Linked DNA regions of Tribolium castaneum. The protein of the gene in region 1 binds, or shares a complex with, the protein of each later gene. Links are inferred from orthologs where the notes say so. Each region holds a gene or a part of one and is shown on either strand. Other genes may lie near its edges.

Evidence for each region. Proteins that work in one complex are often made in the same cells at the same time.
Region 2: Nup75 (region 1) and PCID2 share a complex: the UniProt entries of both Drosophila melanogaster proteins name them as parts of the nuclear pore complex. The link is inferred for Tribolium castaneum from reciprocal best matches to the Drosophila melanogaster genes Nup75 and PCID2.

Annotation. Positions count from the first base shown.
Region 1 is NC_087399.1:876,128-880,879, forward strand, and holds Nup75 (nuclear pore complex protein Nup85), read left to right. Parts: upstream 1-1,952; 5' UTR 1,953-2,061; coding exon 2,062-2,085; exon of another isoform or gene 2,086-2,130; coding exon 2,131-2,572; exon of another isoform or gene 2,573-2,792; coding exon 2,793-3,046; exon of another isoform or gene 3,047-3,092; coding exon 3,093-3,215; exon of another isoform or gene 3,216-3,269; coding exon 3,270-3,488; exon of another isoform or gene 3,489-3,621; coding exon 3,622-3,737; exon of another isoform or gene 3,738-3,787; coding exon 3,788-4,324; exon of another isoform or gene 4,325-4,377; coding exon 4,378-4,582; 3' UTR 4,583-4,632; downstream 4,633-4,752. Other genes in the region: mRpS23 (small ribosomal subunit protein mS23), read left to right, coding at 1-142, 184-472; uncharacterized protein LOC660898, read left to right, coding at 503-867, 1,088-1,331, 1,381-1,817, 1,863-1,950; oxidized purine nucleoside triphosphate hydrolase, read right to left, coding at 4,638-4,752. UniProt on the Drosophila melanogaster protein: Component of the nuclear pore complex (NPC) that seems to be required for NPC assembly and maintenance. Required for nuclear import of phosphorylated Mad via importin msk.
Region 2 is NC_087397.1:8,459,567-8,463,821, reverse strand, and holds PCID2 (PCI domain-containing protein 2), read left to right. Parts: upstream 1-1,815; 5' UTR 1,816-1,970; intron 1,971-2,036; 5' UTR 2,037-2,048; coding exon 2,049-3,245; 3' UTR 3,246-3,334; downstream 3,335-4,255. UniProt on the Drosophila melanogaster protein: Required for the export of nuclear mRNAs and involved in mRNA trafficking in the cytoplasm.

The DNA.
Region 1 (4,752 bases):
CGGGGGGCGTGAGGTGGGAGGATCGCCCCCTTTGGTTTGACATTTACGAGGCTTTTCCCCCCAAAGAAGAGCCAAACTACGACCGGCCTGCGCCCAATATCCCCATTAAACAAATTTTCTACGAAGAGGACAAAATACGAGCGTAAGTAACGTAACCGAATAGTTTGACTCATCACAGTTTAGTATTTTTCACCGCAATAATAAAAAAATCGGCGCTACGCATTTACTCGACACGAAATATAAAACCCTGACGCAGAAATTCATCGAGAGTTATACAACAATTCAAGCACAGTATGGCGAGTCAGCGACTGAAGAACAAATCTACAAGGAGGCAATTGATTTGTTGAAGAAGAGCCACCAAGAAGTCAAAAAGGAGGAAGACGATGTTAGTTTAAGTACGGCGTTTAAGGAGTCAATGAAGGAGCAAAAGGCCAAATTAAAAATCAATGTTGTTGATATATTTAAATCGTAGTATTTTTTTGTTAAAATCTAGTCTTAATAAATGTTTTTTGTGACACTTTGTTTTATTTTACGTCAAATTAAAATGGGTAAAAAATTGAGTCGTCCACGAGGTAGCGAACAAAGCACTTATTCCCATATTTTTTATACCGGGAGTATCGAAACTATTCCACCATCAATCACCTATCCTTCGATATGTACTTCCCCCTCGTTTCATTTGTCTGAAAAGCCTTCGGTGTCGAAGTGTGACAGTGAATTGATTCATTACGGCGAACTGCAGAGTATGTACATCAAGTCTCAGACTTTCACAGCTGATCATTTGGCCCCCTTGACCATCAGAACCTCACAGTTAGTGCTGTCGCTTCTGAAGAGGCATTTGGGGCAAATTGTTAGCGACATCCACGCAGGGTACTGTTTTATTTAATTTAATTTTTTTGCCTATTCAAAAAATTCATAACTCAAAAACTAAAATTCGTAGAACAAAACGGTTTATTCCAGTGAATTCAGCGACTCATTTTACGTATCATATGTTTTTTTTACAACACTAGCTTACTCCAGAACGTATTTAAACACTTATTTGAATTTGAAAAATGGTGGATGCGCCGGGTTATTTTCTATTTTTTGGCAGGACATTGAAAATGCCTGATAAAGTGGTAGAAAAGTTTGGGGCTGCAAGTGCCCGGAACCCGAATCAGCAAACAGACACATATACTATCCAAAGACGAATGATCACTCATTTCGTCTCGTTACTTCACGTTCATGAAATGGTTTTAACTTATCTCAAACAGAGACGCATCGAACAAGCGCTCGATTTAATCAAACAAATTGCAGTTAGCCACGCACTTAAGGGAATCACAGTGACTGAATTTCGGGTAAGTCCCGATAATTCTCTAACTTGTTTTGGCAAAATACGACTTGCAGTTAGTGGACTGGTTTATTGTCAATTATTTGATAAAAAATAAAGTAAGCACTGACGAGAACATAAACCACTTGATGCTTTACTTAAGCACCCTTTCAAATTACATTGTGCGATATTTCGAAAGTCAAAGTGTTCGCCATACGATGCTCCGGGACATGACTAGTGTGAAAGTAAACGATCGGAGCAACAAAGCAAGGGAAAACTACCGTTTAATGAAACAGTGGACCTCCAGAATTGAACATTCCAGAGGCCAAATTAAGGATCTAATTGACAAGCTCCTCGCAGATCAAGCCCGCATGCAGGAAGCCAGAGAGGCAGAAATTAGGAGCATTGACACTCAAACGCTCAAAGAAAAAGACTTCATTATGCGATTTTTCGTACGCAAGAAACCGACAGAATCGCGCTCAACGTCACACTCGCACCAGGAGAAGGCCTCAACGTGAGTATCACCCCAATATAACAAATTCAAAATACCCGCCCACAGGATTGACGGCGAAGTTAAATCCCTACCGTTACCGTTCTCGCTACCAACCCAAAACGAAAGTAACCCTAGTAACCGAACAGATTTCTAAATTACCGACCCGGCTAACCGCTCTCCTCAAACAAAATTCGAAAAAAATACGGTTTTTTTGAATGAAAAGGCGCAAAATTTCGTGTTATTTAACGCTTCCCGACCCGTATTAATGGACAATACCGCCAAAACTTTCGTAAGCAGCGATCAATTTTTGAGGTTAGGTCATAATAACTTGTAGGTTATTCCAAATGAGTTATGCCGACGTGCTGGAGTGGCGGCTTCGTGGCTTTCCGTCAACGAATTCGGTGTTTTCGGCCACCAGAAAACACCAAAAGTTGATAAACCGAGTCACTTTGCCCCCTCGGACGCCTCTGTGTTTCAGCTGCGCCCCGACATTATTCTCTTCAAACCAATTTTACGCAAATTGGTAAATGAGGCCAACGGGACGTTTCTAACCCTTCAAGCCCTTGTAGCCACTGAGGGCGACCACAAGGCCGAATTATTGAAACTTAGCCGGCAGTACAGGTCCATAATAAGGGCCTGTTTGGAGAATTTGCAAGACGAGGTGATGCGAGCCGATGGCGATTATCGCGAAGAATTGCAAAATTACATTACGATTTTTTACTCAGTTGAGTGTATTTGGCACTTGTGTGAAATCTTATTTGTTGATGCGGTCCCAGGTGGGTTAGTGACACGGATATCTAAAAGCTAGGATGCGAAACGACGTACAAATAAAACGTCCTGAACTCGGTAGTTTTATCGTTAACTATATTTAAAAAAAATTCCGGACTTTTTTAGGTTCAGAAAATCCGGTAATTTCGTACATCGTTTCCTCCTAAGTTATAGACCTCTGTAGTGACACAAAATTTGGGGATTTTTGCCAAACAGTTGGGGTTTTAGGCAACATTGTTTTGCCCCACTTACTGGACTGGATTCGGTTTCATTTTCCGAAATATGACCGAAATGCGGCAAGTATGTTGGCTGGGGATTTGGGTGGTTTGGAGTCACACCCTGACTATTGGGAAACTGTCATTGGGTCACTATTACAAGGGCGGGTCAAGGTCGTTAGGGCCCTACTTAAATTACACTCAGAAGCTGAGTCACAACCTTTCAGAATTGTGGATCAGTGTCTGAGAGCAATGCCGGTTTATAACGTAAGTAGGCTGGGAGAAATTGACAGGTGTTCATGGCCGACTTTAGATGTTTAGTGGGACTTCAATCGCTGAATTTAATCTACAATGGAATCATTGGGTCGTGGATGTTCAATCGAAAATTGATGCGAAAATGTTTATTTCTTGTTATAATCTCAATTTGATTATGAAGGTTTTGTTTTAAGTGTGTTTGAGTTGGTAGTTTTCTTTATAAGATTTTTTGTAGCTTACGGTTGGTAACGAAATTGCATGGGGGGAAATACAGCAGTATTGCGAGACGTGGTATGAAATGTTAGCCGCGTGGTTATTTTTTACCCAACCTACTGTTAAATCGTTTGAGTTGGGACAGTTTGCCAAACAGTGTATCACGAAAATGTCCATAGGGAATAGAATTAAGCATTTGGATAGGATGTTGTTGGCAGCAATGGAGTTTGATATTTTACAGGTAATATGGCGCCACCTCTGTTAAGTTATTAAATAAAACTGAGACTTTTGAATAATCCTGTATTTTTCGGCTATACTTTTAGTTTTACACTTTTTTGCAAATGTACACATAAATTCTAACATTTCTTTGCCAGGTGATTAAAGAAATCCAAAATATGACAGACAGTGGCTGGTTTGTGAGCCACTTAACCGACCTACTTTACCATTCAGGCCGTCTAAGCGACACAACTATCGAAACTATTGAAAATTTGTGAGTCCCCGATTTTTTTTAAACCGTTTATTTTACAATTATTATTTCAGCCACCCTGATAAATTGCGCGAGTCATTTTTAATCGATTATGGCTCGCTTTTAATGGGCCATAAGTCACTATGGCAGGTCGGTTTAAGCTACTTGGACCACTGTCCCAGCGATGGCCCTGAAGTCACAAAATTACTACTTGCAAGACTGCCTCTAAATTCCGAAATGCGGGCTGAGAAAATTGTGAGAGAGGCTCTGAACCGGAATTTAACCGAAACGGCACAAAGTATTTGTAAAGTGCAAGGAATGGCTTGTAAAAACCGGGGGCGTCTGGGACACGCCCTCGCCTGGGCCCTCAAATCACAAGACGGCACTTTTGTGTCGTTTTTATCGAACAAATTTCTGCGAGAGTATGCCGAAAGTGGCGATTTGAACAGTATTGATCTTTTGGATAATCTCGGATCGTGTATTTTGGCAAGCGATAGGTTGATGTTTTTAGGCAAATATTACGAATTCCAGAAGTTATATCAAGCGAACGAGTACAAAGAAGCCGCCAATTTGCTCGTTTCGTTACTTGAGTCGAAAATAATACCAAACTTGTAAGGGGAAAACACTTAAAATTGCGGTTTTTTATCTAAAGATTATCTTGTAGTTTCTGGAGTATTCTATTAACTGACGCAATACCGCTACTTGAGTGCGAAAAAATGGTTTTTTCCTCAACTGATACCTACATCATTATGCAGTGTTTGGAAGAGCAGGAAAAAACCAAAGACTTGAAAGACAAACTTCCGATCTTGAGACTGTCAGCGACCCGGAATTTAGCACGAGCTTTGGTACACGAAGCCCAATTAAAATGATGATTTTTTTAACAATTTTTTATTAAATAAATACTTTACGTAAACAATAATACTTTTAATTGGCCACTTTAAGTGCACTCGCCAAGTCCTCAAATTCCTCAATTTTCGTATCAGTGATTGTGTCAGGGTCACTGTAAGTCACTCTGGCCGCAAAAAATTTCTCTTTTAAC
Region 2 (4,255 bases), on another chromosome or scaffold:
AACATTGCCTAAACAGCATGCTAGAGAATTAATCAATTGATCACAAATTAAACTGACGTTCAGTTTTTATCAATGGTCCCAAAACGTGTAATAATACGCGTTAAGTCATGTTATGCAACGAATTTGCATGCGGAATTTCGTGTTAATTAACGGGGAAACATGATCTTGGCTTTTTGCGTGTGCTATTTGCCTTGGCAGTGAGCTACAAAATTTTATAATTGTTTCGTTCTACAAAAGAATTTATTTACTCGCAGTTGAATAAAATGAAGTTACGACTACAAGGATGCGAACTGATTGACCCAGTTTGTTTAAATTTCTATCGTGTTGGACTGCTCCAGACTGCATGTCTAGTGCAAATTCTTATCAGACTTCAACAAATTGATTTTTATTGTGCTCTGAATCATCTAAAGAAGGCTCGATTTTTCATAGTTTATAAACGGAACGAAATCAACTAGTCCAAACCAACTTAATGCAATACGAGTTGATTAAGTGCACTACTATTGAACATTAAATGGAAAAATATTTACATAAAATATTTACAGAATTTAGATATGGATGTGAGCCCTCTGTTCGCCTAAAAATATTTTCAAGTTTCTAGCTTTACTCAGAAGAAAAATATGAGGAAATGAAGATGTGAACACAAATTTGCTTTATATTAATTTTTGAATTTTTTTACATAAACGTCTTTTTTACAGTGAAGGCTATTCCAAATCAAAAAAAAAACTTTCGGATTTAAATTCAGCTAAAAAAATTACATCAGAATCATATTTCAGTAAACGTGTCAATTCTGTTAAATAGTTCTTTATTTTTGATTCTTTTTTAAGTTGTTAATAATTACGTTGCATTTCTCAAACTATCATAATCATTAATCACACAGACATTCAAGATATAGAATATTGCTTTTTTATATTGTTTTATTTTAAAATTATAAAATGTAGATATAGAAAAAATAACTTTTTATGGTACATAATAAGGCATACTAAAAGTATTTAAAGCAAATTTGGAATTCTGTGTAATTATTTAGCTTGTCATGCAGTAAAAATATACTTTTGCTGGGACACCCTGTAAAATTTGTTTTTAAATTTTATAGATGAACATAAAAACCTTTTATATGCTTTTGTACGGTCATCATTTAAAACATAACTTGTTTGTAATTTAAACGTCGTCTACCTACTTATACTTATAAGTTTTTTTTTGTAAAATATGGTTTTGTTTTTTAAGTAGCACTATACAAACAAATACTTTTAAGTTCGTAATGTGTAGCTTTAGTTTCTAATAAACAGTACTTAATTTTTTTGTTTCATAAGGAGCTAAAAGTAAACTACAATTAACGTTTAAATTGCTTATTATACTGATTTATGGGTCTGGCACGTGAAGCATTATTAAAGTTTAAAATAGCAAAGAAGTAAATAATTTCTTTCCATAAATTCCATTACTAGGCGCTTTAAATTCATTATTGTTGAAGTTATTACTTTCCTGTGTAATGGATTTTTAAATTATGATTTATCCTTGACTAGAATAATAAAACGTTTTCACGACTGTGTTTATAATTTCCTAAAAATTTTTTAATAAAATCAAGTTGGATAAGTTCCCGGTCAAGTTGCATCAAGCTGTTCCTCGGAGCGCCATCTCTGTGTGGGAAGAAAACATGCGGCTTGCGAACTGGTCTACGAACAGTTTTCGTTTTTATGGCATTTTACTTCCAGGATTTGCATTAATTTAATCCCTATTATTAGTACTATGGGACATATAACACGAATTAAGCTCAAATATCTTAAATTTTGTTAGGTCACAGAAATTATTATTGATTTTACTTGTATGAATCGCACCGCTCCCTATCGGCCATTTTATCACCATTGCAAAGACTTGTTTATTTTCAAGCTTATTCAAACATTTTTTCGTCAAACTCGTAAGACATAATGTTCTTTGCGTAACGGAAGCAACAAATATAACACTTGTGCCTAAATCACGTGAGTAACAGTTCAATTTCATTTATAAATGAAGCGGTTTCGGTTAACTGACGCCCCTAACCTTAGTTTTTCAGCAAAATGACTTTTATGTCCGTTGCTCATTACCTACAACTTGTGGAAAGGTATTGGCGGTCTCAGGACGGTGCAAAAGTGGCCAGTTTTCTGTCTCTTCGCCACGAACATGCAGGTTATGCCAATTACCACATTGAGAGTCCTGAGGGAATAGTTGAGCGTTTTTTGACCGCCCCTATCGACGAATTAGTGATTTTGCACCTAAAATGCCTGTTTGCCATAAGCCAGAGTGACTATCTATCGGCTTATAACATTCAGAGCAATTTGACGCAAACTTTCACTAAGATCTTGCAATCGCAAAAGGAGGAGAATTGGTCTTTGCCTATTATGTATGTCTTGTGCTTAGACTTGCGTCTTTTGGCGCAATTAGCCGAGAATCAGAGGAGCGGAATTAATGAGAAGCCCGGCGAAATGCTCGAGAAGGCAGCAGAATGCTTGATGGGTTGTTTCAGGGTGTGTGCTGCTGATAATAGGTCAGCAGAGGAGGATACAAAGAGGATAGGGATGTTGGCTTTGGTGAATCAATTGTTTAAGGTTTATTTTCGGATAAATAAGCTACATTTGTGCAAGCCCTTAATCAGAGCGATTGAGTCATCACCGTTTAAAGAGAGTTTTTCTCTGAGCCAACAAATCACATATCGGTATTTTGTGGGGCGCAAGGCTATGTTTGATAGCGATTATAAAGTCGCCGATGAGTATTTAACTTATGCTTTTGAAAATTGTCACAAGCTCAGTAAGAAGAACAAAACGCTTATATTGATTTACTTAGTTCCTGTGAAAATGTTGTTGGGGTATATCCCAAGCAAGGAGGTTCTGGAGAAGTATGACGTCATCCAGTTGTGGGATTTAGTACAAGCTGTATGTCAGGGTAATCTCAAAGCGTTTGACGAGATTATGGAAAAGCACGAAACCTTTTTCATCAAGTGTGGAATATATCTGATTGTTGATAAACTGAAAATCATAGCATATAGAAATTTGTTTAAAAAGGTGTATTTGATTCTAAATACGCATCAAATCCCTATTGAAGCACTGCAGACTGCTTTAGTGTATTTAGGACAGACTGATGTTGATTTGGATGAAACAGAATGTATTGTTGCTAATCTTATTTATGAAGGGAAAATTAAAGGATACATTTCGCATCAACATAGGAAGGTTGTTGTTAGTAAACAGAATCCATTTCCGCCACTTACAAGTCTATCATAATTAAGTTTTTATAAGTTTGTATAATTCGTCGTTCTCTACCTGCATTGTAACTATTTTGTAATTGCATATGAAATAAACTGTTAAAACTACCCGTTTTTTGTGTTTTATTAAAGCATAAACGTAACGTCTATAAATCTCTATACTGCGAAGTGACTAAGCGACCCTGCTGTCATAAGAAAAAAGCTAAATGTTGTATGCATAATAAAAACCGCATTAAAAATGTTTATGGAATTTTTATTTTATTAAAAATTGCTTTTGTTATTCGAAGAGGTCACAACTACAGTTGTTTTTTTTTAAATTGCTCAGATTTAATCTCGATACGAATCGTTTTGAAAATCAATAATGCATATTAAATCACCTAATGATTATGCCCATATAGGTAAAAAATATTCGTTTAAGCTTTACATAATAGATACGAAGTTAATACCGAATACATCCTTTAAATGTACTGTAAATATTATATTACATATTGCGAAATTTTGCACAAAAGGATTTATTTTCCCATAGGTAACTTTGTTACCCGAAAATTAAACTCATACATTTTATATGGAAATTTTATCATAGTCAAAAACTATTTAGTTTTTTATTATAAATTATTTCCAAACAAAATGTCACTATTATATAGTTGTTAATCCATTCTATGATTAAATAATTTTTTTACAAATCAATATTTCCACAAAAATTTCATTTTACCTAATTTAATAATTCTTCTCAAAAAACGTATTTAATAAACGCCGGAAAATGCAATAAAATTTGTATTTCTGTATTGTTTAATTCATTTGAATATTAATTGCTAAAAAATTACGTTTTGTACTGACAGCTTGAAAATGCAAAATAATGTAATGATGTAATGATAAACTCAATTTATTTTTATTTGCTTTTTTAGTCCGATTTAGTGAAAACATGTTATTATAAAAACAAATATGGAATTCATGATAAATTTAATTTATTTAATTAATGAACTATATTTCTGTATTTGATTGGTCTATTTAAGGTCAGCCATCATAATA